Notamacropus eugenii: one gene and its partners. The protein of the gene in region 2 purifies or fractionates together with the protein of the main gene of each other region. This does not show direct contact. Links are inferred from orthologs where the notes say so. Each region holds a gene or a part of one and is shown on either strand. Other genes may lie near its edges. The genes, in order: HIF1A, STUB1, HSPBP1 and DNAJB6.

Region 1 (7,849 bases), about 250 Mb from region 2:
TAACAACATGCCATGCTGATATGTCAGGCTGCTTTCATTTTGAGTTCTAAACTTAGAGATTTGCTCATCTTAAAATTAATTTTATAAAATGTGACCATTCTAATAATATGTAATGATTAATATTTAGTAATGATAAATATATCACTTATTATAGTTAGATCATGATGGGAAATAAGCAGCAGTGTTAAATATTGTGGAGGTTTTTTTCTCTTATTTCCCATGCTTTCTTGCCTCCTTCCTAGAAATGGAAAAACTCATAGAGTTTGGGGTTTTGAAAATGTTCCAAATAATTTAGGTTTTGACAAAGCCTCAAAATACCTCCCTTTCAGTTTTTCCGACTGGAAGGTATTTGAGGGGAAATTTCATTAAAGATCATTACTTCAGTAACTTACATACAGTAAGTATTCATTAAATGTTTTGTTGAATTTGGATTGAATTATTTAATTAAATTGAAATCTGAGCTACACTAAGGAAGAAAAAACCATGGTACAAAATTAAACCTTTGGTTTTGTATGAATTGGTGACAATTTGTCATTGAAGAAGTATGAGCTATTTCTCTAATGAACATCATTTAGAATTCAGAAAAGTGCTGCTATATCAAGTCCACTCATATTCCACAGTCTGACTAATATATTTATTTCCCATACAGATCCTTTCTATTTTCATACTTTGCTTCAAATTTCACACTTCAATTCTATGCATTATTATATAGTCATTTTTTGTTGTTGAGAAAAACAAAACCTGGAAGCAATATTATGCCAGTTATTGCTTATTGGTCATGGTAGCTTCTTAAATATTGTAACAATTTGTAATAAGATGAATTTCACAAGGTTCTTTTTTTTTTTTTTAAAGGAGTTAGATGCTTCTTATCTTCTGGTAACAATATAGACTTCAGGTTTTACCTTGTTTACTTCTGAGTCACCACCCAACCTTTATTACTATAAAAGTTATGGGCTAAATAGTCATTTATAAGTAATCCCAAAGTTTACTTAGGAACTATTGCTAATGTGAGTTGAGTGAAACTTGGATACTTAAAAAAGCTAGGAAAAGTGGTTAGCTGAGACCTATGCTTCTGAAGTAGTGATCCAGTTTAATAGAGTTATATGTGATTGAGGAAAAATAATTCTATAATTCATCGCAGGGAGTGTGTCTTCTTGGTAGCTTTTAAATTACTTTTTAGATATCTCTTCCAATGAAAAACTGAATTTTGAGGCACTTTTAGGACTTTCAAAGTTTTACCTCCTGTTGATTGAATTGCTAGAAGGTTTGTGATTTAGTTTTAGGTAAAAAATAAAAAGCCACTGTTGATGGTTCTTAAGAATGACGTCAATTTGCTATTATAACAATGGTTTTATTTTGAAATGGTTTGATCACACGTAAATGTATGTATAGTCAGTCACTGGCTACAGAGGATGAACAATAAGTATCCAAAAGCAACCACATTGTAATCACTCTAGGTTACTGAATTGGCTAATTTTATTAGAGCCCCCAGTTATCATTAGCTAAGGAACAAATGACTGATTTAAATAAACTAAGAGGAATGTATATCAGTGTGTAAAATTACCAGTATTGTCCTCTTGCCATTTTGCAAGATGTACACTATCTAGTTTTTAGACACCTCCTTATAGCTATATGATTGTACAAAAATAAGAGATAGTAGCTTTGTAAAAAAAAAAATCCAGTCTTTATTAATTTTCAACCTCTCATTACTCTAATTAAATTATTAAAGTAGACATATCCCATATATACATACATATATGTATACGTATATATTGGTTAACTGATCACAGTTACATGTTTTTTTCATTTAGACTCTTATTTTTATGTATCCTTGAGGGTGAGACATTGTAACTTCCATATTTGCATATCCCACCCCCATTGTTGAAATAATACACTGAAGGGTGACAAAAACATCACATAAATTAAGGATGCACATTCAGAACATGTTTATTGATTTAAGGAGGGAAAAGGGTACCTGTGACAGATGAAAAAGAATAGGACTGAAACATGATTTCAAAGTAAAAAGAGATCACAAAATGTCAGAACTGGATAGGCCCTTACAGGATTCTGTATTCCAACATGTTGGCCGATAAGGAAACTGAAGCTGAAACAGAGGCAAGTGGCTACTAATGTAGGAGTAGGACACAGTTCTTCCAGTCCAATTTTCTTTCCATCACATTGATGAGGTATGTTTTCTACCTTTTTTTTTAACCATTAAAGCACCATAATTAATATACTAAGTAGCATCCATGATACATTAGCAAAGGAGAATTAGTGACTAAGGCAATGTTATGTTGATTTTTGGTTTAGTGGAACTATGCCGGTTCCATGGGAGGGCACATAAAAAGTGCTTAAGAATGCTTTTGGGTTGAACGATTAGAGTAAGACTTTATAGCTTTCCGGCTTCTATGTGAATCGAACTGTAAACAATTAAACCTGAAACCAGAGGGAAAGAGGGTGGGGGAATCTTGCCCAATCTCATAACTCAACTAAGATTCTCCCTTAATGGAGGCATGAAACAAACCAAAAAATAAATATTTTTACGGTACCAAACAACCATAGTTAATTCTTCCTTCTTGCAACATTCAAGTTCCTTATCATTTTCCCTGTGTTAAAGTAGAATGAAAACTTACATAAAGCAGTTTTTACATACATAAAAAGTAAGAATATCTTGTCCATTCTTAGTGCAACTTTCTACTGTTTTCTTTTGCGATTTTGCCTAAAGTTTTTGTTTGTTTGTTTTTGCCTTTATATTGTAACGAAAACCTAGATCCTAACATTTGGGGTTAAGGAGACAATTCCACCGTATTCCATGCCAAGTATAGGGTACTAGTACTAGCATTTTGTGGATTAGCAAAAGGGACTAAGCCTATAGCTGAAGGAAACCGTAATAATGCATTAAAAAACAACAGGGTAAATAGCCCTCAGTCGTGGGACATTACAAGGCTGCTTTTCAGGAAGGGTGCGTGGAGAAAGGGACAAGAAGCCACACGATACAGGATGGAGGAATGTTGCCCCTGAAAATGCAACGTCGGCCTAGTACCCGACGCCTGAGATCCTTTTCAGCAGCCCGGGCTAGCGAAATCCCGCCCCTAGCAGCTAGGAAAAAGAAAAGACAACGGCCGGCGAGGCTGGGTCCCGCAGCCACCCCAGGTCTTTTTCTCCCTCCTCTTCCCACCAGTCCCCCAGCTGCATCACAAGCCAAGCAGGACATCTCAGCTGTGCCTCCAGCTGACCACCAGCCGATTGGCCTAGGACGGCGAGGGCTGGGGTGGGGATAGGCCGGCTCGGGAGCTTCCCATTGGTGCTTGGGGAACCGGCCTCCCCCTCAGGTGAGGCGGGTATGCGCCTGCGCGTTCCTCGGGATTCCCCCCGCCCCCTTTTTCCTTCCTTCTTTTTACTCTTCCCCCCACCCACTCCTCCTTACTGGCGCGCGCGCGCGCTCGCGGCTTTGCTCCCTGCCCACTCTCCCCCCCCCCTCAGCCTCCGGTCCTCCCTCAGCCTCCGCCTCCCGAGCCCTCAGAGCTGCCTCTGTGGAAAGAGGAGGGAAGCCGAGAATCGGCGCTGCTGCGCGCCGGGCCAGGCCGCGCTGACAGAAACCGGAGACAGAGAGAGCTAGACTCGAACCCCTAGGATTGTCCGGACTCTCCCGTCCTCCGGAACGTTCTGGGTTCCTTTTTCCTGGAGGGAGGTGGTGGTGGTGGGGCCGGGGACCGCGTGTGTCCTTCCCCTTTTTAACCGCCGCCTCGGGATCGCCTCTCTACCCTCTCCATCCCCCTTCGTTCTCTCCCCCCTGTGCCTCGTGTGTGAGAAGCCGGAGCTTAAACCGGAGCGGACCGGGCCGAGGAAGCGCCTGGTGGCGGGGGCGCTTAGCCATGGAGGGCGCCGAGGGTGCGAACGACAAGAAAAAGTAAGTAAAGGGGGATCTCGCCGCCTGGCGCCCCTAAAGCCCACCACGCGCCGCCGGGTGGGGGGGGGGCGGAGGCGGGGAAGGAGAGATGTAGATGGAGGAGTGCAGGGGGGAGGGGGCCGCTTCTATTCATTTCTCCCTACCCCCCCTTCCTCACTCGGCCTCCCCCCCTTACTGTCCACGTCGCCATCTTGGTGTGGGGGGTTGGAGAGCCATTGAAAGTGGGAGTCCGGGACGACTTCGCCCCTGGTCCCCTCCCCCGGCAGCCACCGCGCGGGCGCGCGCGCACTTCCCTCCTCCCGATCGCCCCCTCCCCTTGCGACCCCAGCCTGGAAATCCAGCCTTGGAAAATCAAGCTGCTTTGGCTCCCTCCGGGTCAGCACGCTCTGCCCCCGGACGAGGCTCCCTCCCTCCCTCCTTCCTCCGTTTACTCTCCCTCGATTCTATTGAAAACCCCTCCGGGGGAGGGGAGCTGCAGTTTGACCCGGCTGAGCCCTGTAATTCCCTCCCGGGCCTCAGGTTCTGCACCCCGTGGTAATGTGGTGTCCGTGTTCTGTGATTGTGTCCTGCCGGGCCGTGAGTCAGGCAGCGAATTGCGATCGTGTTGTTGTTCAATCTGGAGGCCCCCTCCCCAAGCGATCAATTCTCTTCTCAGCTTTGTGTTTTGTCAGATTGGGGGTGCTCGGCTGGCACTTATGAAGCGCGACGTGCCAAGGGAAGAGTGAGACGCTAGCGGCATTTACGGAGAACACCCAAAATTGTCCTTTTGTATTGGTAGCCAGTGCCAAGGGAGAGTCTAGGTGTAGCAGATAGATTTGACTTCCTGAAGTACGTTAAGGGAGATTGAGTGGATAGGTAAACGTCCGAAGTGACCAAAGCGCGACGCAAATACAGCAGAAGCTGGCAAGGTCTGAGAATTGTTGGCTTTGCCCATTTTCTGGCCCGGCTCTCGTTGTGTTAAAATCTTTAAGAAAATGTCAGAAGGAAGTAGCTGTTTTCATGGAACTTCTTTAAAGGTGTAGGTAGGAAACATTATGAACTTTAAGAAGAGTCAAAGAGTTTTAAAATACACATATTTAAGGCCTTGGAATGATTTTGAACCCAGGTACGTTAACTCCAAAATGTAATTTCCTAGTTGAAGAAATTTTGTCTTGTGTCGTGTGTGGATTCTAGAAGGAAACTTTGTAAAACATTGAAATTATGTTGGTGTTCCGTTTTGGTAAACTGGTCTTTATTTAATGATTAGCCCTTCCAGTCTCTATCTGAAAACGATATGTTTGTTTCATATTATCATGTTTTTTGGAAATGTTATCTTGGCCCATTTGAAGTAGAAACTTTTGAGGAAGGTAAATAAGGTGTAGATAAAATTATTTAACATTTTTACAGTGTAAAAAAGTTAATTAAAAAGTTAGTTTCCTTCTCTGTAAAATGAGGGGACTGGACTAGGTAGCTTCTAACGTTCCTGTCCAGCTCTAATCTAGGTCTATGACCCTATGAGAAATTAACACAGAGGCTGTTATAGAAGTTAGCAGGAATGAATTGCTATTAATTTCATAGAAATAATTATAAAGCTTTTGCCCGAATTGGATTGTACATCTCAGCTTAGAGAATAACTTGATATTCTGATTGTAATTTACATTAATTTTGTACGTGAAGGTGCATTAAGCAAAGTTACACACTTCCCCTTTGCAAGTAATAGTATACTCCATTACACTTTTGTTCCAACAACCAGTATTAATATTATGACATCATGAATGGTATATGGGTCCACTCATTTGAACTGGGATTCTTATGACTGTTAATGACTTTTTTTTGCCTTTGTGTCCTCCATCCCTAGAAAAGTGACTTCCATATATTAGGGACTAAAAAAAATATTGTTGAATGTAGAAGTTTCTTTTTGAAAGCTAGTAATTTTTGCATATTGAGGTACTTGAGCAAGAACCATTCTGTATTTGTATTGCAAGTTAAATGAAGAATCCAGTCATATAAAATATAACTATGCATGGGACGTTATTGCTACTCCCTCAGTCTGGGTTTTGTGCTACTCTTTTTTAACATTCTTAGCATAGCTTGGTCTAATAGACTTGGAGAAGATCTTAAGAAGTCAACTTGTTTAGTCCTCTCTCTTAGGCAGATTACCACATCCAGACTTTCTAAAGTACATGTCCAGTGTCATAAATATCTTTGTGGATAGGAAGTCCATAATGTTCTAGAACAAGTTTTCTTAATCTGGACTCCCTTGGTTCTGTGCATACATTTCAGTGGGTCTGTAAACTTTCATAGGAGGAAATCATTTATTTTCAGTAACCATTGTTTTCCTCTGTAAAGTATGCATTTTATTTCATGAATTTAAAAATATTCTGAGAAAGGGTTCATAAAGTTCGTCTGCTAAAGGGATCCATGGCACACCTTTGTTGCTTCTCATAAGTCAAGATTCTTAATGTTTCTTGAAATAAAATGCTTTATTGCTGCATTTTAAACCTGTTTCTTCTTGTCCTTCATTAGAAATGGAAAGTTTTAGTATAGTTTTATATACTTCAGTTTGCTGTCACCCCTAAGAGTTTGCTATAGTTTCAACTTTTTTAACTTCCTTAAAGGTCCTTATGAATGCTTTTATTCTCTGAATTTGATACAGCATCATCACCTGAAAAATATGAAATTCAAAACAAGACTCAGAACCCTAAAAAGAACTTACCAAGTATGTAATGGAACAGAATTGATGCTTTTTCTATTTTTCTACTAATAATGCATTCTTGAATTGTTAGTTTTTTAACAGTAGTATGGTATACACTAGGGTTTAGTTTGTTTCTCTCAGACTGGGTCTTTTTCTTCCAATAGTTGGCTTTTTGGTCCATCAGCAATGCATTTATTAAGCCTCACCATGTTCCAGCTATTATGCTAAGTGCTGAGGATACAAAGACAAAAGTGAAATAGCCCCTGCCCTTGAAGAGCTTACCTTTTTATAAAGAAGACAACAAACACATTTTTAAAAGTATTTGTATAATATATACAAAATGCATACAAAGTAGTTTGGGAGGAAAATTCACTAGTTAATAGCAAAATACCTGACATTTGTACCAGAATAAATAAAAATATCATAGAATCTGGATTCAAATCCCAGCCTTGGGCAAGTCACTTAACCTTTTAAAATATTTTAATTTCACCAAAGTTATGGAATAGACGAAATATAAAGCAATCTTTGCTAAATATAGTCATTTCTCTCCACACACAAAATGGTGTGCTTAGCAGTTGAATCAAATTAAATTGGTTGACTCATTCAGTAACAATAAACCTCCCAATTTTTTACATCTTTAAAAAAATTAGTGCAACATATTATTTTTCTTTAGTCATTTACTTGTTTTACAGGACCTGGAATTGAGTTCATAAGATTTTGACACATATTCTTTAAATTTTCATCATGGAAGTGCACTTAACATACTAGATATATTAAGCATAACTTTGATAAACAGATAGCCTATAGAGTTTCATTGAAATTTAAGTTAGACAAGTTTCAGGGCCACTGACACATACATATTTCCATCTCTTGGACAGATTTCTTAATCTTTTGTGACATGGTGCACTATTGTGTTGTAGTGTTTGTTCATCTCCATTTGAGAATTTCTGTAATCCTAGAATAATTCAGTTTAACAACATATATCAAGAGGCTCATCATTATCTTCTCTTTGTAAGTAAAAAACCTCAAACATTTTTTGAGTGCATGTTTTACAGTATGATGAAGATGCCCAGATCTTCCAGGTACATTTGGATTTGTCTTGGTATAGACTTGAATGAAAATTTGAGTTTCATCAGTAAAAATTACCTTTTCCCATTTTTTAGTACTCTTGTCTTTATATTGCCTTACACATGACAGTTCCTTTAGTAATGGTTAATAGCTAATTTTTACTAGTCTTTTACTTCTAACTTTAGAAAGCTTAGACA
Region 2 (7,373 bases):
GTCTCCACCCACCAGGGAAGCCCAGAAACAAGAGCTGGGCACTGTAACTACTGATCGATTATTGCTACAAACAGGCAAGAGCCCAAGCTGTCACTGCTGGAACAAAGTCACAAGAACTAGACTGAGAAAAAGGAGTCTGACCGGTGTGACTGTGTGTGAGCCTTGTGATACTGGAGGTGGTGAGGGGAAGCCTAGTGTCTTCAGAGGCCGTGTCCTATCACTGTTCTCTGCTCCACCATCCTTCCACGGTCAGCTCAGAAACATCTTCCCTTGATATATGGAAGAGCACAACGGGATGGAACCCCTAAAGTCCCATAGCCCTGCCTTGTTCTGTCCTGCCCAGTTGTCTGCAGGACAAATACAATGGAAAGGAGACACTGTCCTAGGTGCAGGGGATGTAAAACTCAGTGCCTGCCTAGCTCATTCCCCCTCTGAGACCCTTTCTTCCATCTCAGTCTTTGATATCAAGCAAGAGGAAAACCTTTGGCTTGACTTGTTTTACAGGAAAGGAGATTTGGTTCCTAGAGCTCACCACAGGAAAAAAAAGGCTATCCCTGAGCTGTCACCTCAGGGGCTCCATCCTCCAAACCATCTACAGAGTCACCTGAGCAGGTATCCGGAGAAAACCATCCTTAGTCCTGGTTAGGTTTTTTTTAGATCTGGGTGATATCTGGCAGTCTGTTCTCAAGTGAGGTCTCTACCCTTCTCAGCTTTTCAGGGACCTAGGTTGGTGAATGGGTCCCTTCCTAAACTCAAGTTCACCTATGAGTCAACTGAGCCATAAGCCATAGGCATGAAGCCACCTCCACAGTCCTGAAAAGCACGCTCAGGAAGCCAGGCAGGTGACAAATACAAGGTGCTACATTAAGATAAATAAATAGAGATAAACAGAAAGCCTCATCAGCTAAGCAGCTAAATAGCCTGAGTCACCAAATGTTCTACCTCACACATTCTTCCTCTTGGAATTTAGAATCAGGAAGGACTTTAAGAGGTAATTTTACATTCCTTCATTTACACTCCATACACTGAGTCCCACAACAGAGAAGGGATTTTTAGATGAAGAAACTGTGTCCCAGAGAAGTGACATGACTTGCTCAAGATCATACAAATAGTAAGAAACAAAGCTGACTTATGAACTCAGGACTTTCTCCTCCTGATTCCACACTCCCTCCAACATGCCCTGATGCCCCAACTAAGCCATCCAGCTATCAGACATTTAGGAGTCATTCCTTTGCTGAAGGAGCTTCAGAGACCAGCCTTTCATTGGTCCCGAGACCACTAGGCTACTCTTCCTTTAACCCCAAACACACAGAACTCTGGGATTCTTTTTTTCTCCCTAGACTATCCTCTCTAGATTCCTCCTCCCATTTTGTCTTTTCAGATCCTCCTTTCCCCCCCTTCTTTAACACCCTCATTCCTTATTTTCTCCTTCCCTCCTCGGATACTATCCACTGTTCCGGGCACGGAAACCAGAAAGCCTCTAACTCTACAAGGGAAAGGGAAGCAGCCAGCCGGTCCCTAGAAACTGTTAAGACATAGCCCCTTTCTCCAACCCTTTATCATTATGTGACCCAACATGGCACATTCTCAAAACAAACTGGTTCAGAATCCCCAAGGAAAGGCACTTTGCTCCGATATTTATTCTTCCATAGCCCCTAGAACAAAGCTCTGCAATTCAACAAATGATTTTTTAGTTTTTCCAGTAAATAAGATACTGTTGTAAAAAGTAATTGCACCAGTACAAGTACCTATCACTTTAAAATGTTCCTAGAAGGAAAGACCAATAAAAATGGGTTCCTCTGCCTAATCCAGAACGTTACATTTGTAATTACATTTAAGGAAAGGTTCGTGTTAACTCAGAAAAAAAATTCACTCGCGCCACTCTCATCTCAGCACCTTCGGGTGGCACTCCTTGGCATTCTGGAACAAGACTTCCAAGCTCTGCATTCAGCAAAGACAGTCTATCTCAAGCCCCAGAAATGAATTACTGGCTTTGTAAGGCTCGGCCCTGACCCCTGCCCAGCTGCAGACCACAGAGAAGCGGGGCTTAGGTTCCCTCTGATGAATGACCGCACACACGACACTCCCCCGCGCCCGGCCGGCCTGAGCTCGGCTCTGCAAGGACAGAAGCGCCTTTCCCTCTGCCGCGGCTCCCCGCCCCGATCCTGGGCCGCCGCGGCTCCCAGCCCCGATCCTGGGCCCCGAGACCCTCACCTGGGACAAAGGCATCCCGGGCCATTTCTTTGTGAGAGGCTTCGGAACTCGGCGGGGACCCTGGGAGCGCAGGCCACCCCCTCCCCCCGAGCTCGCGCTCCCCTTCTGGCCCGCGCCCCTTCCCCGGCCCCCGGTCCTCCGCACTCACGATGGCTTTGCTGTAACAGGCCGCGGCCTCGGGGTACTTGCGGCCCACAAAGAGCCGGTTCCCCTGCTCCTTCAGCTCCTGGGCGCTGGGGCTCTTCTCGGGGCTGCCCGCGCCGCCGCCCCCTGAGCCCAGGCGGGCGCCGCCGCCGCCGCCGCCCCCGCCCTCCTTCTCTTCTTTCCCCTTCATGGCTCCGGCCCGGCCCCGGCCTCGGCCTCTACCCCGGCCCGGCCCCGTGATCCGGTCACGGCCCCCGGCCCCGGGGGTGCGCAATACTCAGGTATGACCCCGCCCTGGCCCGGGCGCTGCCCACAGAGAGCGCCCGCGGCTCGGCTCGGACCCCCGAGCTCCGGTCCCAAAAAGCCCCGAATTCTTCCCTGCGGAGACCCAGCGCCGTCACCCAACCGGAAGTTCCGGCCGGGAAAGCAAGGAGGCCGGGAGAGCAGGGGGGTGGGGCCGGAAGAGAAGGGATGAGCCTGTGGAGAAGGACGCCGGAAAAGCGAGGAGATGGGGCGGGGGAAAGGCCGAGCCCACGAGGGGGCGGGACCAGCGGGAGACGGCGCACCGAAAGAAAGAGGTGGGGCTAGGCCCGAAGCCAGCTGGGTCCATCAGCACGTAAGAGCAACACTGGAGGGCTTGGGCCTCGCACCTCGGCCGAGCTCGGCAGGAAAGGCGGGGACCCGAGACGAGGCGGACGCACGGCTTTTATGCTTTCGGGGTGGAGGGCGGGGCCGAGGCGGAGCGCGCTTGGGAAAGAGGCGGGGCTGGGAGCGAGAGCCCGCCTCTAAAGGAGTGGGATTGGTCGGGGGCAAATAGGAGGGTGGAGAGAAGGCTCGCCGGCGCAGAGCGTGTCTGCGCGTGCGCGGGCGGAGGCGGCGGGCTTGCGTGGGGAAGGGAGGGCCGGTTTCCCTTCTCTCCTATCTCTTCCCACCCGAGTTAGGGTCCTGGAAGGCTGGTCGCGGTTCGGAGAGGCCCCCAGTCCTCAGGAGGTGCCCGGCTTCCTGGGGCTGGGGCCATGGGCCCGAGCGGGGGCCTGTATGGCTGTGACGACCCCCGGTGCTGGGCGGCAGTGCTGGGCTGCTACAAGGAGGTGGTCAGAGCCAAAGCGGGCAAGGCCCGCAAGCTTGCGGCTTTGGACGCGTGGTGAGCCCGCCTCCTCCAGAGCCCGCACCTCGGCCCCACTTCCGCAGGGGTCTGGAGCGGGGTGGGCAGAGGGAGGGGAGCAGCGCCCCGCGGCGGGCCCTAGCAGGGGGAGACTGCCCTGTGCCCAGCACCGCGCCCGCACACAGGAGGCGCGCGATAGACGAGACTGACCCGCACGGGGTGGGGGAGCCGGGGCCACACGTGGAAGGACTCATGGGTGGGTGTTGGGGTGCTCGTGTGACGGACAGCCGCACGTAGTGGGCCTCCCAGTCGGGACCGCTCAAGGCCAGGGAGAGTGGGGGTAAGAGCTGCCTTCACAAGCCTTCCCCCCGGGTTCTTGGTGGATGGCCAGACAGGGTCCGAGGCCCGGCTGCCTCTCTTCTCTTCTCCCTGAGAACCTGGACCCTAGGAAAATCTATTTCCCTTGTTCAAAGAGGCCCTGGTATCTGAGGGGCATCGGGCTAGTCCCTAAAGGGTCCAGGACACAGGAACCCCATCCGTGTGCGGGACTGTCTGGCACCTTGCCCTAAGGCAGCTTAGTTCCCCCCCCCCCCTTCCAGATCCCAGGGTAGACTTTGGGGAGTGCTGTCCCCATGGAACAGTGACCTGCCCTGACCCTTCCCTGTCACCACTACATACATGTAGTATGTGGATGCCCGTTTCAGGTATCAGGAGGAGCTGCCAGTTTCCATAAGGGAGAGAAAGGAGAAATACCTAACTCGAGATGAATTGGTGAAGCTGATGGAATGGAAGCTGGCGGTAAGCTCCCCATCTGAATAAGGTGGTGTCTGTAGGGATGGACATAGATCCAGGCCCAACAGGGAAGGCACAAAAGAAATTCTCAGGCCCATTCGGAGGGGTGACCTCACATAGCCCTTCCTTCAGACTCTAAACCTGTCCCTGTCCTCATCTCCCAAAACTGCTCCTTCCCTCTCCCCAAATTAAGTGATCTTGTATTTATTTTATGTCTATCTCTTCTGTTCTCTCTCTCTCCATCTCCTTACGTGTATGTATACATGAGTATGTGTGTGTATATACACACATACACACGTATGTTTTCTCCCTCAAGGAAATGTAAGCTCCTTGAAGGCGGTAACTTTCCGTTGTCTTTGTACCCACAGTGCCTCAAAAATAGCAGGCACTTAATAAATGCCCATTGATTGATTGATATCCAGTGAGTGATGGATAGGTAGGTGACTGTATCCTTAACTCTCCTTCCTAGGTTCTAGAATGTGCGAAATGGAATACCAGTGTTAGAGGGATCTTGGAGATTATGGTCCAACCCCTTCACTTCACAGAGGCAGAAACAAGCCCAGCAAAGGGGAAGTGACTTATCCAAACTCACATACTGAGTTAGTGCCAGATTTATAACTAGGTTTCAAGTCTTCTAATTCCCACCCTAATGAAGTCAAACCCCAGCCAAAAGTTCTGTTTAGTTTTTGGACTTAAAGTTTATAAAACCTTCTCTGTTCACATCCCCATCTTTGTAAGACATAGGATTTCTTCTTCAAGTTGGGGTAAAGGCTGCAATTGACAGGAATTGTATTGATAGGAATAGTATTTCCATTGAAAGAAGACTCAGGGTTCTAAGGAGAAGAGATTGGAGTGTGTTAATTGGCCTAGAACCTGCAGTCAGAAGATCTGGTCATAAATCTCAGTTCTGCCACTTATTAGCTGTGTGACAACCTCCCAGGACATCCGGATTGTGAGGCTGAACAGAGGGTCACTAAGAATTCAATTGTATATTCTCACCCTGTTCTTACCCTCCTGCCCTGTCCTTCCCCATACATGCTTAGAGGGGCAAGTTCAGACCACGACTGCAGCATTTGGTGGCCACTAACCCGGAAGAGATGGTGAAGCGGTGCACCACAGCAGCCTTCTCTCTATTGCCCAATGTGGAAGCTGCCATCACAGAGCTGAGCCAGCTGAAGGCCGTGGGACCAGCTACTGCCTCTGGTGAGGGAAGAGGAGGAGGAGAGGAGCCAAGGGTGGATCCCAGCAGACCGGTGACACTTGGTAACCTCTGGACCAAGACTGAGCCCAGGCTCTGCTGGTCCCTCAGGGGATGTTCTGAGGTGGAGAGGGAAACCTGGGTGTGTTATCTCCAACATCCTAAGGTCTGACTCTTCAACTCAGTGGGTGGAAAAGTATGTGTGACCTGAAATGACTGATGCTGATAGAGTGCAAGACACTCATTCCTTCCTTGGCTCTTCTGGAGGTTTGGGAGTATCCCCTCCCTCACCTGCTGCCTTGAAACACTAGTACTAGGCCATTTTCATCAGTCCAGTTCAACATTTTTCTAACCAATGGCCAAATCTGACCTCGTGCTAAGAGAGGACAAATCAGCCCCAGCAGAAGTGGTAACTTAGGGGTTCAGGGGAACTTGCTTAAGACGAGGTGACATTCAGGCCTTAGGTTCCATGGAATGTATGGATGGTCCTGGAGGATCCCCTGCCTTCCCATAACCCAGCTATACTTCTTTCAGCAATTTTGGCTGCAGGTGCCCCAGAGACAATAGCATTCATGGCAGATGAGGCAGTGGCTGCAGTCCCTGACCTTCCTGTGCTCCAGTATACTCTCAAACATTATATTTTGTATCTGGACAAGATCTGGGCCTGTGCTAAGAGACTGAACCAAGGTAAGGGTTAACTGCTGGAGGGATGTGTGTATCACAGTAGTCTCAGTCTCTGACAGACTGCCTAGATATCTCTGATGCCAGAAGGGTTTGTGGAATGATTAGGTGTAAATGTAGTGGGTAAAGGAGCTTCAGGCCTCTGGGCGGGGTAGGCCTCTAGCAGGAAGGCTCAGTTGCTTTGGGTAGGTCCAGAGTTGCATGTTCATTTTCCTTCCTCCTTGGGCTTTTCTCATAGTTGATCCTTTATCAGAATGGACTCCTCACCAGATAGAAATGTGCCTCTGGACCTGGACTGTGGCCCAAAAACTGTGTCCCACAGTCCTGCCCTCCTTTTCTTGGATGGCCCCCAAAGCCAGGGAAGATGCTGAAGATGTCAGACCTTCCAAGAAACGAAAAGCTAGTATTCACTGATCTGTATACACTATCTGTATACACTCCACCCAAGAGAAATGCATCAAGTCACAGTAACCTGCAGCCAGGCTCCTATCTACTGATATCCATGGAGGCCTCAGGGCCGAGGGTAGCCACTGTCATCCATTAAAATTGCCTTCCATCCCAACCTCATCTGGACCTCACTTCCTTAGATACCCTCCCAGGCTAGCACTGAGCTGGGAGTTAGGAAGATGGAGTGGATAGCTCCAATCCCATCACTAAGTTACCCTTGGGGAAGTCACTTAAACTGTCTTTGCAGTTCTAGTCACTTCTCCCTTTGCGTTCAATTCCTCCAAGGCTCAGGTATGTCCAGTCCTGTCTTCTCTTGTCCTATATGTGGTGTAGGGGGATGCCCCACCCCCCTTAGAGAGTTTAATAGTGTTAACTAAATAGAGCAGTGATTCTCACAGAACTAGGTGTGTGTGGAAATCAGAAGGAACTTAGTTTTCCAGAGTAGAAACACCTCCCACTGGAGCTTTCCTGAATTCAGAAACTAGAGAAGGCTGTAGGTGCTTAAAAGCTGGTAGGGCCCAGCTTCAGCCTCATGGGATTTCAGGGAATGAATGGGGTGGGGGTGGGGGGCCCAGTGGCTCAGCAGCTCTCAGCTAACTGCTCTGGCAGGAGGTGTAAACGGCTTCCTAATTGCCTTCACACATGAGCCTAAATTCGGAGGTGTGAGGAGGGAAAATCTTAACAGGCCTGAGAAGTTGTTCTGGGAAAGACCAGAAGCTAGAAATAGCAGGAGGAGATCCCAGGGGAATCTTCCTTGGCCTCCATCCCAACAGCAGGGCCTCTGGAGGAGGG
Region 3 (7,545 bases), on a different chromosome or scaffold from region 2:
GCCTACACTCCCAAAGCCTTGGCCCCACCACATCCCCCACCCCAGGGTCTTAGGGGCCTCACACTCACAAGAGATGGCATAAAGGGCCTTCACTCGCACTGTGTCACAGGGGTCCCGGTCGAGCAGTCGAAGGAGCTTTCTTAGGGCACCGAGACCCAGCACCTGCTCCTGGATGGCTGCCACATTCTGGCTGCATGTACCAATAAGGTGGGCCGCCCGCCACCGCAAGCCCTCTGCCCCTGCCTCCAGATAGCGGCCCACTAGGAGGTGCATCCCGGACAGTTGGCAGAAATCTAGGCAGTCAAGAGAAAAGGAGAAAGTGGAGGGAGGTAAATACAAAGTCTGCTAAGGGAATGGTCAAAGTTTCTGTCCAGTCAGGGCTATGATCATGGGATTTCTAAATCCTTTCTTAGTTTTCTAGGCCTGGAATATGCTCCCTCCCCTTTACCCTTTTAAATTACAACTTCCAAGAGGGATCTTTACATGTTCAATAATGCAAAAGGTCTTGACAGAAATGATCTCATTTGATCCACTCTATCCCACCCTTCTATTCTTTAAAAATGAACTCTAAATGAGCCCTCCCTGCTCTCCCAGGTGGGTGACAAGCTGCTCCTCTGACTGGCCAGAGGCCACTGAGGCAGTTCTTGTGGATCACTGTAGACTCTAGTTTTTTCTTTCCCCTCATCATTGCTTAGATCTTGGTACTTAGATCTCATTCTTGCTTCCTAGGTACTTCTCCCATGAAGTGAACACTGTTTGTCTCACAGAGCCCAAGTCTTCTTAATAGAACTTAGCCTGGGAAAGACCTGGAGATCAGCCAGCTCGACTCACTCACAGAAAGGAGCTGGCTGACCCCAGGACAGATGCTGTCACCCAGCTGGAGAGCAGCAGGATGAGACCATCCCTTATTTGACAATATGGGTGTGGGGAGTAACAGGCCACAGAATGGCAGCGACTTCTGGGTCCTCAGGCATCACAGAGGGGTGAAACAAGGGCCAGAAAAAAGAAAAGATCTGCCCAGAGTCAGGGTAAAGCCCAATCCAGAACTCTCCCATTAACTTCTACTCACCACCTTAGATCAGTGAGTATTGACTACCAGGCACAGAAGGACACTTGCCACAGCCCTCACCTGCTCATGTTAGGGAAACTAACTCTCTGAGTGGAGAGAAACTAAAACCCAGACAAGAGACTTTGCAGCAAGGTCGCCAGGTTCACAAAACAAAATCTGAACCCAGGAACTCTGGCTGAGGCTCTTTCCACCTCAGTGTGCAGACAGAACTATGGCCCCCCTGAGAAAGTCAGTGTAAAGAGATCTAGGATCTGGTGAAAACTCTGATTCCACCTGCTATATGATGCTGAGACATACAGGTTCCTCTAATCTTTCTCTTCGGCTAGGTAGGGATGGCGTGGGAGAGGAACAAGGTAAGAAGGAAAGAGGCAAAGGGATTACCTGCAGCATTGTCCATATTCTCACACAGGTCAGCCAAGAGCTCCAGAGCTCCCTCCCGCTCCTGCTGGTCAGCTGCCAGCTCAGCCTCCCCAGCAGTGGGGGGTGTAGGTAGGCCCAGAGCATGAAGACAGCTTTTCATTTGTTCGACCTCCTCCCGTGGGCCTCGGAACGCTGCGGACATGGCCTCCTGCAGCCACTGACGCCGCTGGCGTGGTGGACAGGAGGAGGCAGGGGGGCTTGGTTATATTTGCCCTCCAGCCCCTGCCCACCCAAGGAAGCAAAAGTCCCCTCCCCATATCACCTCACAGAACCTGACATCCAGGTCTCACCTCTTCCGTCATGGGCTCGGGTGGGAGTTCAGGGTCACCAGGGCAAGCTGTCACTGCCATGTGCAACAGGCCTTGAAGGCTGTGGGGATGCGAGGGGTTCCCCATGGAAGCAGACGTACTAGCCTCCTCCGGGGCCGGAGGCAGGGCCAGGGGGAGGCGGTTCCCTCCAGAACCTGAGTCTGCCATCAAGGGTGATGGGGTAAGGGTGTGACTGGGGAGATGTCCTGAAGATAGCTGATCCGTGTTTTGGAAAATCTGGAAAAAATGGGGTAACAGGGAAACTGAGTGTGGAAGGGAGTGAGGGTGGCACAGGGCTGGGTTCCATGACTCCCCTGCTTTCCCTAATTCTGGGGCCTGCACCAGCCCCTACCTGTCTTTAAAAAAAGCAACACTTTCTCACTTTCATAGCAACCCACCCTCCCTCATCTGAGGGCAATGGACCCTTCCCCATCTCCCTGGTAACACCTCCCTTCTCAGGCTCCATGGCAACCTAACATTTCTTCTTCTTCTAAAGACCAACCTGCGTGCCTCCATCTCCACAGCAACCCATCCCTCTCCTGTATCCATGGCAACATATGCCCTCTCCTTCTAAAGACCAGCCCTTCCTTCCCTTCCCCCACTCCACGGCAATACATCCCTCATCCCTTTCCCCGTCTCCATGGCAACCGGCTTTCGGCATCCATTCCCTAACTTCTCGGTCAAAGCCTCCCATCTCCATGGCAACAGACCCCCTCCTCTTATCCTCGGCAGGCGGCTCGGACGCCTCCCTGTCTCCTTAGCAACAAGCGCCGCCTTCCATAGCAACAGGGCCTCTGCCCCCTCGCTCCAAAACCCTCGCCCTCCGGAAGCCCCGCAGCTCTCCACAACAGGCCTTGTCCCCTCGGCACTCCCCAGGGTCCGTGCCCGCGCCCTCCGGGCCTCACCTCCGCGGGCCTCAAGACCCACGCCGCCGCCCGCACCTGCCCGCAATGGGCGCCGCCATCTTTGCCGGAAATGCGTAAGCCTCACCTTTCACCTCAGCGCCCTGACTTCCGGCGGGGACATGACGGCGGCGAGGGGCGGGGCCGGGCGGAGGGGAGATTTGTTGGCTATTCTCACCTCTCCTGGGTTTCCCCGCACATGCCAGCCTCGCCCCTCCATGGGATCCAGGGCCCCCCCACCCCTTCTCCAAGCCTAAGTCTTGTCACCATCTGACCTATCTCTTCCCCCGCCCCTTCCGGACCGCCCTGCCCTCAGGGCCCGCCCTCTGCCTGACTCGGTCCAATCCCTCACCCTTTGGCCCGCCGCCTCACTGCGCAGTCTCACCGCTGTCGGCGTCGCTCCCGCTAGTGTTTCTGGGACTTGTAGTTCTCGCAGCTGCTTCCCTAGGCGTGGAGCGGGAAGAGGAGGGAAGGTGTTGCCGCCTCCGCCGCACAGACACAGCCACACGCACACACGCACACGAGCCCTTCTTCCACATAATCAGCTCAGGGGTGTACACCCTCCGGGGTCCCTTTGCCCGACGATGATCCTCTAGCCACTCTCCACCATCCAACACCCATTCAGCAAGCACGTGCTCTGCCCCTACTACGTGCCGGGCGCTGGATGTGGCCGCAGAAATGGAGGAAGGAGCCCTGCCCTGGGCTGGGCTGGGTGGAAGGGGGTCCGGGGAACCTCTCCCCGAGTCCATCAGGATAGCCAGGGTGGACCCAGGATGGCGGGAGGCAGGTGGTCCAGGGGAGGACCCCCCCTTCCCTGGTCCCCAAGCGTGCCCTCGAGGCTCTGAGTCTGGCTACTAAGTGTCAGGCACTGGGGGTGCCAAGAGACAGTCCCTGCCCTCAAGGGGCTGAAGTTGGGGGAACAGCAGGCAAACATATGCAGAATACATGGGGAATCGGAGAGACAAGGGGGAAGCCCTGGAATCAGAGGGATGTGGGAGCAACGGGGGACACAGCCGGAGAGAATGCCCAGAGCTCAGACATGGGGCACCACCCCGGGGGCTACTATCACTGGATGAAGAGCCTGCAGAGGGAGGAGGGGGCTGGGTTAGGAGGGCTTTGAAGGTCAAATAAAGGATTTTGTGCTTGATCCTGGAAGTGATAGGGAGCCTCTGGAGTACAGTAAGTAGGGAGGGGCAAGATCAGAGCTGCATTTTAGGAAAACCTCCGGTACGTCTTGGACCTAGATTTCTCCAATTCCTAGGTAAGCACCTCAAGATACTATGAGCATACAGGGAAAAGGACAGCCTTTATTTCACCCCACAGTTAGTCAACAAACATTTATTAGACTAGTGTCAGGCATTATGCTAAGTTCTGGAGATTCAAAAAGGGTCAAAAGACAGTCCCTTCCCATAAGAGGAGTTCACAATCTAATGGAGCAAATGAACAGGTACAAAGAAACTAGAAAGGATTAGTAGGAGATAATTAAGAGAGGGAAGGCAACAGAATTAAGGAGTTAGGAAAGGCTTTCTGTAGAAGATGGAGCCCATAAACAAAGAAGATTCATATCCTCCAACTGGAACATCACCTTCCCATCTCCAGGGGTCCTGATCAATATCTGGCCACAGGACCCAGATGACCTCAGAGGACAAAGTGAGGCTGATGACTTTGCACAGCCCTGCCTCACTTAAATCCAATTCACTTACATGTCATGGCATCACCTCCTGATGTCACGGTCCTCTTGGAGCACAAAGGACAAATGACAACAATGTTCCCACCCCATACACACAGTGGAATTGATAAGTTATTATTTTGACATTCTGATGTCGTTTTCCCATCTTTTTAATAGCACCACCCTGTGGTACAACATTTCTTGATAGACTGAGTGACTGGTTTAGACTTTTCCAGAAGATAACCACAATTTGGGAGATGATGAGCAAGCAGCCTCCTTGCTATCAGACTGACACTGACAGAATCAAATAAACACAAGTCAATAGTTATGAACCACCTACTATATGCCAGATAAGGATGTACCTGCTCTTTAGGAAAATCACTTTGGTGGTTGAATGGAGGATGGACTGGAGACTGGAGGCAGATAGACACACACACACTCCAGCAGTTAGTACAATAGTTCTGGTGTGAGGGCATGAGGGTCTGCACCAGGGTGGGAGCAGTGTCAGAGGAGAGAAGGGGCACTGCAGGAGAGATATTAGGGGGTAGACTATATGCGATGACCTAGAAAATAAAAGACTGAGAGGTAGTCAGATGAATAGGAGAACAAGGAGGGAGGGGGATCACAGAAGACCCAGAGAGGAAAGATTATCCAGGAGAAGTAGGAGGAGAAGGAGGAAGTCAGCAGTCTCAAATACTGCAGAGAGACAAGGACATACCTGGTCAGATATGGCCCGGTAAGAACGTGTTTGGGATGCTGTATACATCTCTGAGCTTCACATGTCAAGGACACCAATAAGATGGAGAACATTGACAGGAAAGCAATGAGAACGGTGAAGGGCTTTCTGTTGGAGATTTCTGGGAATATTCAGCCTAGAAAAAGAAGACTTTTGAGGGAACATGATGGTGACCTTCAAGTATGTGAAGTGTCATCAAAGAGAGGAGGGTTTGGTCCCAAAGGGCAGGACCTAGAGTGCCCAGTGGATGGGAGTTGCCAGGAGGCAGATGTGGTATTAATTGTAGGAAGCCAGTAAGAGCCAGGGTCTCCCCCCTCACTAGAGCTATGCAAGAAGGTGCTGATTGACCTTAAACTTGGAGGTCAGCAGAGAGTCAGGGCAGGATGGGTAGATCTGAGATCATCAGCATAAAGGTGGTCATTCAATCCATGGGAACATAAAGGTGCTCATTCAATCCATGAAGTGAAGCAGGTCCAGTCCCAAACCTTGAGGTTGATTAGAGGCATGACCTAGAGAAGGACCCATACAAAGAGATAGAGAAGGAGTGGTCAGAGAGGAAGGAGAGAGTGACCCACAGCACCTAAGGCTAGAGAGAGGACCAGGAGGAGGAGAGAGAAAAGGCCATTGGGTCTGGCCACTGGAAGATCATGCCATGTCAGTGGAATGATGAGGTCAGAGGTCAGTTTGTAAGGGGTTAAGAAGGAAGTAAGAGGAGAGCAAGTTCAGATATGTGGTATGGTATGCTCAGCTACAAAGAGCAGGAGCATCATAGGACCATGGTTAGCAGAGATGAAAGGGTCAAGCAAGGGAGGTGGGATGAATGAGCCAGTAGAAAGGGAGAGACTGAGGAAAAAGGGGCAAGTGAGGATGACCTGTTGGAGGGTAGGAGATGGATGGGATCCCCTGAGCAGGTAGATGGACTGGCCTCAGTCAGAAGTCAGGCCACCTCCTCTGTCAGGGAGAAGGGAGGAGAGAGGGGCATAAAGCATCAGAGTGATAAGGAACAAAAAGGAGAAGAAGCTCACAGCGAATGGGCTCAATTTTTTCTGTAAAAAAGTTTTCTGTCCTTTATTCTATGTGTGTGTGTGTGTGTGTGTGAGTGTGTGTATGTGTGTGTCTGTCATCTCTGTCTGTCTGATTCTATCTCTGTCTGTATCTCTGTCTCTCTGTGTGTCTCTATCTGTCTTTCTGTCTCTGTGTCTCTCTGTGTCTATCTTTCTGTCTCTCTCTGTGTCTGTCTCTGTCTCTCTGTGTCTGTCTCTGTGTCTGTCTTTCTGTCTCCGTGTCTCTCTGTCTCTGTCTCTCTGTCTCTCTCTGTGTCGTCTGTCTATCTGTCTCTATGTGTCTCTGTCTCTTTCTGCCTCTGTCTTTGTATGTGCATGTGTATGTGTCTCTCTCAAATCTGGCTCTTCTCTCCACTCACACCACAAGTACTCTCATTCAGTCCCACAGCCTGTGTCATCTTTACAGTAACTTCTCAATGGGTCTCCTTCCTTTTTTTGTCCATCTGCCACAGGGCTGCCAAAGTGATATTCCTGAAGCACTTGTTTGCCCATATTCATCCCCTACTCAAGAATCTATAATAGCTCCCTATCGCCTGTTAGGCAACCAGATAGCACAATGGATAGAGCTCTGGACCTAAAGTCAGCAAGATCCGAATTCAAATCAGACCTCACACTGGTTGTATGACCTTAGCCAAGTCACTTAACTCTGTTTGTCTCAGTAATCACATCTATAAAACAGGCATGACAATAGTAGCACCTACCTCCCAGGGATGTTGTGAAGGTCAAATGAGATAATATCTGCAAAGCACTTAGCACAGTGCCTGGCACATAGTAGTCACTGAAGAAATACTTTCCTTTCCTCCAGGATAAAATACAAGCTCTTCTGTCTGGCATGATAAGCCCTTTAGCAATCTAGCTCTAGGCCGCTTTTCCAGACTGACTATAAATTACTCTTCATAAAGAGCTATTATGTGGCCCAGCTATATGCCCATAAATTTGACAATCTAAATAAGATGGATGAATATTTTAAAAAATATAAATTACCTAGATTAACAGAAGAGGAAGTTGAATACTTAAATAACCCCATCTCAGAAAAAGAAATTGAACAAACCATCAATGAGCTCCCCAGGAAAAAAATCTCCAGTGCTGGATGGATTTACAAGTGAATTCTATCAAATGTTTAAAGGACAATTAATTCCAATACTATAGAGACTATTTGGGAAAACTGGTGAAGAAGGTGTCCTACCAAATTCTTTTTATGGTACAAATATGGTTCTGATACCTAAACCAGGAAGAGCCAAGACAGAGAAAGAAAATTAAAGACCAATTTCTCTAATGAATATAGATGCAAAAATTTTAAATAAGACACTAGCAAAAAGAATAAAGCAACTTATCACAAGAATAATACATTATGATCAGGTAGGATTTATATCAGCA
Region 4 (7,109 bases), on a different chromosome or scaffold from region 2:
ACTATTCAATGAATGGGCGTTACCTCACTCTAAGTGAGTACCTGCATAGACCTCGGCCTAAAGGGGCCAAGGTCTTCTAGTGTATCCTGGGTCATCTCCAGTTCATCCAGAGGAATATCAGGTCACTGGATTCAGATGGCTCTGGAAAAGTGAGGCTGGTGACCTGCATAGCCCTCCCTCACTCAAAATAAAGTCAAGTGCAAGTCATGTCATCATTTCTCTGATGTCATGGTCTTCAGTAAGGAAAGACAGACACAACAACAACCCAGGGCTACACCAGAGAGCAAAATTTGTACCTCCTGGAAAGGTTTCTTTCTGGGCCTGAATAGGTGAAGGACTGCCACTCAAAAGAAGTTTAGAAAGGCACAGAGAATTCACAGGTTACTTTTTTGCAGGTACATCAATTCTTTAAATCAGAAATTCTTAACTTGGTTTGGGAAAGTGTCAAACTATTGGGGGGGATTTGCTTGATGATTTTTGTTTTCTGTTTTGCATTTTGGCAACTGTTATTTTGATATAATATATGCATTTAAAAACATTCTAGTAAGAGGTCCTCCACAGTTTCACCAGATAGCCAGAAAGATCCACGACACAAGAGATTAAGAATCCCTACGTTAAACTGTCCATTAAAGCAATGAAAAGATTGAATTAGTGTATGTGTAAAGTATATCTAAACCCATGAAACTGAGATTTTTGAGGCATTTAAAAAGAATGAGATGTTTGATGTTTCATAAAATATATTCAGTAAAAAGTTTTAGAGCCAAGACCTAGTTTAGAGCTAAGACCTCAATTCTTTACAGATAAAGAAACAGAAGCATATAAGTTATTTATCAAGGTCACAAGTGGTTGAATAGGACTTGATACATCCCAACCATCAGTCTAATGCGTTCTATATTACACTATTTCCTGTTGCTTAAAAAGGTACATATATGTAACACTCCCTAGAGCCCACTTTTCCTAAATCATTTGGGGGGGGAGGGAGACATATTATGGGAGTCAGTATCAAAAAGTGAACAGAAAATTGGTTTTGTAAGTAGGAAGATCTGGATGTAAACCCTAACTGGCATACTTATGTGACTCCAGACAAATTATTTACCCTCACGTCCCAAGCAACTCTTTGAGAACCTAAATTACAGAGGTAGCAACTTCTACTATCAAATAGTGCTGATAAGCACTGGCAGAATTTCCTCCTTGAACGAATTTCCTAAACTCAATCAAACATCTTTGACATACTAACGTGTTACTTTTCCAGGTTTTAATCATCTCAGTAGCTACTACTGGAATGGCATCCATCTTTCTCCTTGGATCATTCTGACCTCCAGAGCAAAAAAACAGCTTGCAAGCCCACTTCTTTCAGGTGTAAAACTATGATGATAACCACTGAGAGGAGGTGAGGGTAGGCCAATTCAAAATCTCGATTAAACACTTAATTACTTACAAAGTCACTTTTTTGTTCATTCTTGTCACCCTCACACTCCTTTTTTGCTCTTATGTAAGCAAAATTCTCCCTTTAGTACCTACACTTTACAGTGAGCAGGCAGTCAAGCTGAATTTTCTCTCCTAACTTCAAATCTGAGCAAGTGTCTAAAGCCACATCAGAATTAAGGGAAATATATTACATTTTACTTATTTCCCAAATTTTGTTTGCTGTTTCTATCCAATGTTAATACCTTTTGGAGATTCATTTATTTGACTTGCTGATTCTATAAAAGGTAAACAACTAGAAACCGTACTTTCATAAGTACAGTCGGAGTGAACAAATTTGATAGTGGTTTAAGATTTCTCTTCTTTTATACTTTCTTAAAAACTGATTACCACTACTTTACCAGGAATTATACAACCTGAACTGCACTGCCAAATCGGTTGTTTTTCTAAGGTAAAACCGAACTACAAGTTACTTTTATACCACTGAGAAGGAGATGTTTACTTTTCAGTTTTATAATTCGATGGATCTGAAGTCAGGCCTATCTGCCTGAGTTTCCTCATCAAACAGCACCTATCTCCCAAGGTTGTGTCAAGGATAAAATGAGCTAATACTAATAAAGGGCTAGTAAACTGTGAAGTACCAAACAAATTCTACTAGCGGCTATTATCTCCCCTGCCTCTCTTACCTTATTTCCTCCAACTCCTGCCTTTATTCTAATAAAAAGTTTACCCAAAAAAAAGGTTTGAAAGAGGGGCAGCGGTCCCACCTGCGCCCCCAAAGTCTGCGGGGCCTCTCCGCTCGCCTCCCCGCCACCCTCGCAGACTCCAGCCCGACCTTCCGCAGCGAACGCTCAGATTCCGTCTCCGCAGCGTCGGACCCCCTCACCGCCCACAACAGGCTCCTCCACCTCCGGCGCCCTCTCTCTATCTCCAGGGCAGGGACGCGGTGTTTGCCTTTCTTGGTAAGCGCACCCCTGGCACCGGGCCTAGTACACAGTAGGCCGTCCATAAATGCTGAGTGAACGAGAAAAATGCCCGAGGGCACCCAAACGTCGTGCCCATCTCGGTCAGGCGCTCACATTCTCATCTAACCAACTGCATTTTGGGGGAGAAGGGGCCTAATTTTGGTCACGCGATGACAGGAAGAGAGGTACTGCACTAGCTAGGGACACTGAAGAAATCCCTCCGCCTTCCCCCGCAGACCAACGAGAGCCCCCCCAAGGACCCCCGACCATCCGGGGGCTTTCAGCCTCTTCCCCATCCAGTCCGAGGGCGGGTGGGGGCCGAGCTGAGAATCCTCGGCGAGGCCCCGAGCGCCCGGACGCGTCCTCCACCCCCTCCCCCAACGGCCCGGGCCGCAGAGCCGGATGCCCGGCGGCGGCGGGCAAGGACACCCGAGCCGGCGGTCGGGGCTGGGAGCAGACACTCCGAGTCCCCGCCCCGCGCAGGCAGGCAGGCCGCAAGGCCCCGGGAGCCGGCGCGCTGGGCGGGTCAGCAACACCGCCGTTGCTAAGGCGCCGGGGACAAGTCCGGCCAGCCCCGCCGCGGCTCAGCCCAGGACCTCTCCTCCCTGAGCCCCGGGCCCTGACAGGGGTCTTCCTTACCCGAAGAGGGTTGACAGCTGGCGGCGGGGAGGAGGGGCTGGGCGGCGAAGCCCGCGGTCTCCTCTCGGCTCCGGCGCTGCTGGTGGTGCTGGTGGTGCTGGTGGTGGCGGCGGCGACTCCTCGCGCTTTCCTTTCTCTCCGTTTCTCCAACAACAAACAGGAAGTGCGTCAGACGTCGGAGCTACGCGGCGACGCTCCACTTCCCTTCCACCATTAAACTCAGTGAGCTGGAGGCGGCGACCGCGGCGGTGGGGGCGGCTGCCGCGTCTGCCCGAGCCCTGCGCCTCCTACGCCCCGCCCCTACGCCACCTTCCCGAAAATTCTCCGCTCGCTCGGCAGACGCTCAGGCCGCCTGCGGCCGTTGGCGCCATCTGTCGGCCGCCGAGTGAACGACGGTGGGGGAAACTCCGCCGCCCCCGCCTTGGGCCCACCCGCCTAGTGGCGGCCCTCCCCTCCCCCCCTTGAAATCCACGTACGCTCCGGCGCCCTCTGGGACGTCAAAGGGCTGAGGCCGCCGCCCCTCCCCCCAGCGACCGTTGGGGCTGATGAGGCACCTAGAGGGGTCCGGCCTTCGGGGAAAGGTATCACTGCCCTCGTGGAGCTTACGATCCAGGGACCAGGAGAGGACTCTTCCTCAACCCGCCTGTCTCCCTCCCCATGCGCCTCCCCGCTTCAGATCCGGCGGATCCGGGCCCCCCGACATCTGAGCAAGGCCGGCCATGGTAGGGGACCCCCGGACTCCTTCCTCGCCGCGTGGCCCCCCCTGGGTCCTCCGGGACTGGGGCAAGCTGCTTCCGTGGTGCTTGCCTCAGTTTCCTCATCTGTAAAACCCTCCCAGGGCGGTCGTGAGGATGAAATGAGATGATGACGTAGGGCAGCACGGTGCTTGGCACGTGGAAGCGCCCGCGAAGGCCTAGCTCTCCTTAATATCCTTCTTTTCGGGTCTGCCCAGCCCGCCCTAGTCTCCAACAGAAAATCACACTGGGCCCTACGACAGCCTCACGCACAGGATGACCTTGCGGTCTTGTTACCGAGCTGGCCATTCTTATTGTTCAGGAGCAAGTTCTTTTCCCCTTAACCTTTTTTTCCCACTCCATCCCACCGAGTATTTTTTTTAAACTGGAGAGCAGAGCCTCCGGAGCCGGGGCCTGTTTCAGCATTTTAAATTGATCCCCTTTTTATCGGGATGGGCCGACCTGTTCATCTTCTGGGACTTGGGATTTGTCACGCTTCAGCTGACGAAGGTCCTCCCCGTTACCTCTGGAGTTAGGCCTTTCACCATCTAAGCTGGCACATTCATATGTACCCCAGTCCCTTCAGCCATACCCAGTAGGAAGACACCTCCTTGTCTCACAATTTTGAACTAAAATGAAGCGAATTACTATAAATATTTTTGCACACACTGATCCTTTTTTCTCTGATTTCTTAGAGGGTAGTGATGTAGCTAGGGCAAAGGATATAGAGAGTTTGGTAACTTTCTGAACAACAGAATTATTTCTAGAATGGCTGGGCCAATTGGCAGGTTCACCATCAGTGAGTGTATTTTCCCAGAGGTCTTCTGATATTTGTCATTTTCTGATTTTGTCATCCTTGCCATTGTGGAAAGTATGAGTGGAATCTCAGAGTAGCTTTCATTTGTATTCTCTATTAGTGATTTAGAGCATTTTTTCATGTAATTGTCGATAGCTTGGATGTCTTCCTTTAAAAACTGCCTGTTCGTATGCTTTGCCCATTTATTTTCTGAGGAATGCCTTAGATTGTTTCTCTTCTTTTAAAAAAGACTGATTGTCTCTATGTTGTCCATGCTAAAAGTACAGAGACTCTTCCTGGGCTGATTCCACTGCTCATAGACGCAGAAGCTTTGACCTCCATTTTGAACTTGGACTTGTTCACTCCTCCTTGGGCAACTTGGTAGCTCCCTGCTCCTGAAGATGAACCATATTCATGTCAAACCTACTTCTGATGCTGTGTTCACTTAGCTCACTCTCACTCAGAACCCCCCAAATCGAGATCTTGTACCAGATATTAAGCTATTTACTCTTACCTCTCAGCAACCAATAAGGGGACTGCCTTACTATCTACAAGCACTGAACACTTCATCCCTGCGTCAAATGTATATGTTTAACCCAATGGAGAATCTCTGCTCATGCTCTGTACAAGTATCTGTACACATGTATACATATCTTTATACACAGTTCAGTGGTATTAATAAATAAGACCTTGTTAAGACCTTTGTGTAGTAGAAATTTATTCCCTCTCCCCTACGGAATCTGGGTTAGCATTTCACATGCAGAATCCCAAGGCCATGGCCTTGCTACTTGGAAGAAGAACCCAAGGCCATTTTTCTGGTATTTGCCAGATAATTTAAGGAAAAATTCCTTGGAAGGTTCATACCCACATCACTTGGCATGCGTCTTATAAAAAAATGTGCATTATCCTCTTTTGCTAAAACCATACAAAGTCTCCCCCACTTTTCTCAATAATAACTTCATAGATAGGTTTCCATCTGGGCTTAGATGACCTTATAGCACAGAAAAGACCCTCCACATGCCCTTTATTAGCAAACCTTGAGTTTATCAGGGAAACATTCCAGTTGCATACTCTCATCCCCCTCAGTCATTTTCTGTGCTCAAAGATCCCAAGGCATAGCTTTGTATATGAAGATAACAAGTAACCTCTTGCTACCAACCAATAACCAACCTCAAAACTCCCCTATAGGAGGAACATCTATATAACACATCAGAAATGTGTGGAAGTCTAGGAAGACATCTTCAGAACAGCTACACCACCCCAATTCAGATATGATTCAGAGGACCACAGCATCCCAATTCCATCTCCAGTTCTCCCAAGGCTTCTGGGGACTATACAAATATCCTTTCATAATTTTTAAACACATCTTTTCCTTTGGACCTTTTCCTTTCCTCTACTAGTATAGATGAGTTGCCATATGAGTTGATGAAAAATATAGGGTCTAAACAAAGAGCGCTCAAACACAGTGAGTGGCCCTAATTTACTAAGGCCATATAGAACTGGGTTTATGACATCTAACTTGCAACTACAATTGAAAGACAACTTAATTAGTAATATCAAGTTTTTAGATTGAACTGTAGAACTCCATACAGTAAAATTCCATAGGAATTCCTGGAAAGACAGTATGATGATGACAGCAATGATGGCCTGTTTGATTTCCCTCAGATCTTATGTTCAATACCAAAGGACATTAAAATACAGTTTAAAAAAATAAAAATGAACCACTAACTTAGAAAGAGTGGCTTCCCTTGCTGGAGGACACAGAAGTGCCATAGCTTCAATTACTGTTCCAAGAAAAGAATTGCTGTCAATACCTTGAGTCAATTCAGCACAAATCTGACAATGTTATTCCTCAGGTCTACTAAAGCCCTTCCAAATCTAGCTCCAGTCTACCTGTCTGGGCTGGTTGCCCATACTTTTCATTCCAGCTAAACTGGCCTATTTATTGTTGTCTACACAGGCCTTTCCCTTTCCAACTCCAAGCCTTTGCACAAACTGCCCTTCAGGCCTGGAATGCACTACTCAACACCAGTTCTTCAGAATTTCTACTTTCCTTCAAGGTTCAGCCCAAGGCCTTTCCAGAGTTCCCTCCCCCACCATTGCTCATGTTTATTTTGTAAATGTTACTTCCAGGTACCATAGTGAGGAGTAAAATTGGCAGATTAGTACACCTTTCTCCTCCTCCTCCTTCCTTTCTTAGGGGAAAGTTACATAAGAGAAACCTCTCAGATCCTAGGTATCTCCTCCCACTGTGACAGCTAGAAAAAAACAGGACTTTCCCTTCTTTGCATCTTCCTCAGGTAAAAGGCAGAAACTTTTTGCCTGAAGCAAAAAGGAACTCAACCTTTTTTGTGTCTAGGGCCTCTGGCACTAAGGTGAAGCCCATGAATCTCCTCTTTACTCCTCAGAATGTTTTTTGGTCTAAATTCACAATCAAAGGGAATGCTAAATTTCAGTTGGGGATAATGAAAATATAGATGTATTTTTTTTTCCTATCCAAGTTCACAGACTCCCCTAAAATCTATGCTTGTGGTCTCTGTACCTCCAGTT

The links.
Region 1: the proteins of STUB1 (region 2) and HIF1A purify together in Homo sapiens (affinity purification with western blotting; 3 studies listed by BioGRID, with this or other methods). This does not show direct contact. The link is inferred for Notamacropus eugenii from reciprocal best matches to the Homo sapiens genes STUB1 and HIF1A.
Region 3: the proteins of STUB1 (region 2) and HSPBP1 purify together in Homo sapiens (affinity purification with western blotting; 4 studies listed by BioGRID and IntAct, with this or other methods). This does not show direct contact. The link is inferred for Notamacropus eugenii from reciprocal best matches to the Homo sapiens genes STUB1 and HSPBP1.
Region 4: the proteins of STUB1 (region 2) and DNAJB6 purify together in Homo sapiens (affinity purification with mass spectrometry; 4 studies listed by BioGRID and IntAct, with this or other methods). This does not show direct contact. The link is inferred for Notamacropus eugenii from reciprocal best matches to the Homo sapiens genes STUB1 and DNAJB6.

What each region holds. Positions count from the first base shown.
Region 1 is NC_092872.1:305,215,907-305,223,755, forward strand, and holds the start of HIF1A (hypoxia-inducible factor 1-alpha), read left to right. Parts: upstream 1-4,771; 5' UTR 4,772-4,944; coding exon 4,945-5,015; intron 5,016-7,849.
Region 2 is NC_092872.1:53,702,578-53,709,950, forward strand, and holds the start of STUB1 (E3 ubiquitin-protein ligase CHIP), read right to left. Parts: upstream 3,042-7,373; 5' UTR 2,549-3,041; coding exon 2,363-2,548; intron 1-2,362. Other genes in the region: uncharacterized protein, read left to right, coding at 3,375-3,502, 4,168-4,261, 5,299-5,518, 5,988-6,140, 6,373-6,548. UniProt on the Homo sapiens protein: E3 ubiquitin-protein ligase which targets misfolded chaperone substrates towards proteasomal degradation.
Region 3 is NC_092876.1:17,904,379-17,911,923, forward strand, and holds the start of HSPBP1 (hsp70-binding protein 1), read right to left. Parts: upstream 3,062-7,545; 5' UTR 2,920-3,061; coding exon 2,878-2,919; exon of another isoform or gene 2,703-2,877; intron 2,035-2,702; coding exon 1,780-2,034; intron 1,656-1,779; coding exon 1,451-1,655; intron 294-1,450; coding exon 69-293; intron 1-68. UniProt on the Homo sapiens protein: Inhibits HSPA1A chaperone activity by changing the conformation of the ATP-binding domain of HSPA1A and interfering with ATP binding. Interferes with ubiquitination mediated by STUB1 and inhibits chaperone-assisted degradation of immature CFTR.
Region 4 is NC_092874.1:87,373,136-87,380,244, forward strand, and holds the start of DNAJB6 (dnaJ homolog subfamily B member 6), read right to left. Parts: upstream 3,160-7,109; 5' UTR 3,030-3,159; intron 1-3,029. UniProt on the Homo sapiens protein: Has a stimulatory effect on the ATPase activity of HSP70 in a dose-dependent and time-dependent manner and hence acts as a co-chaperone of HSP70. Plays an indispensable role in the organization of KRT8/KRT18 filaments.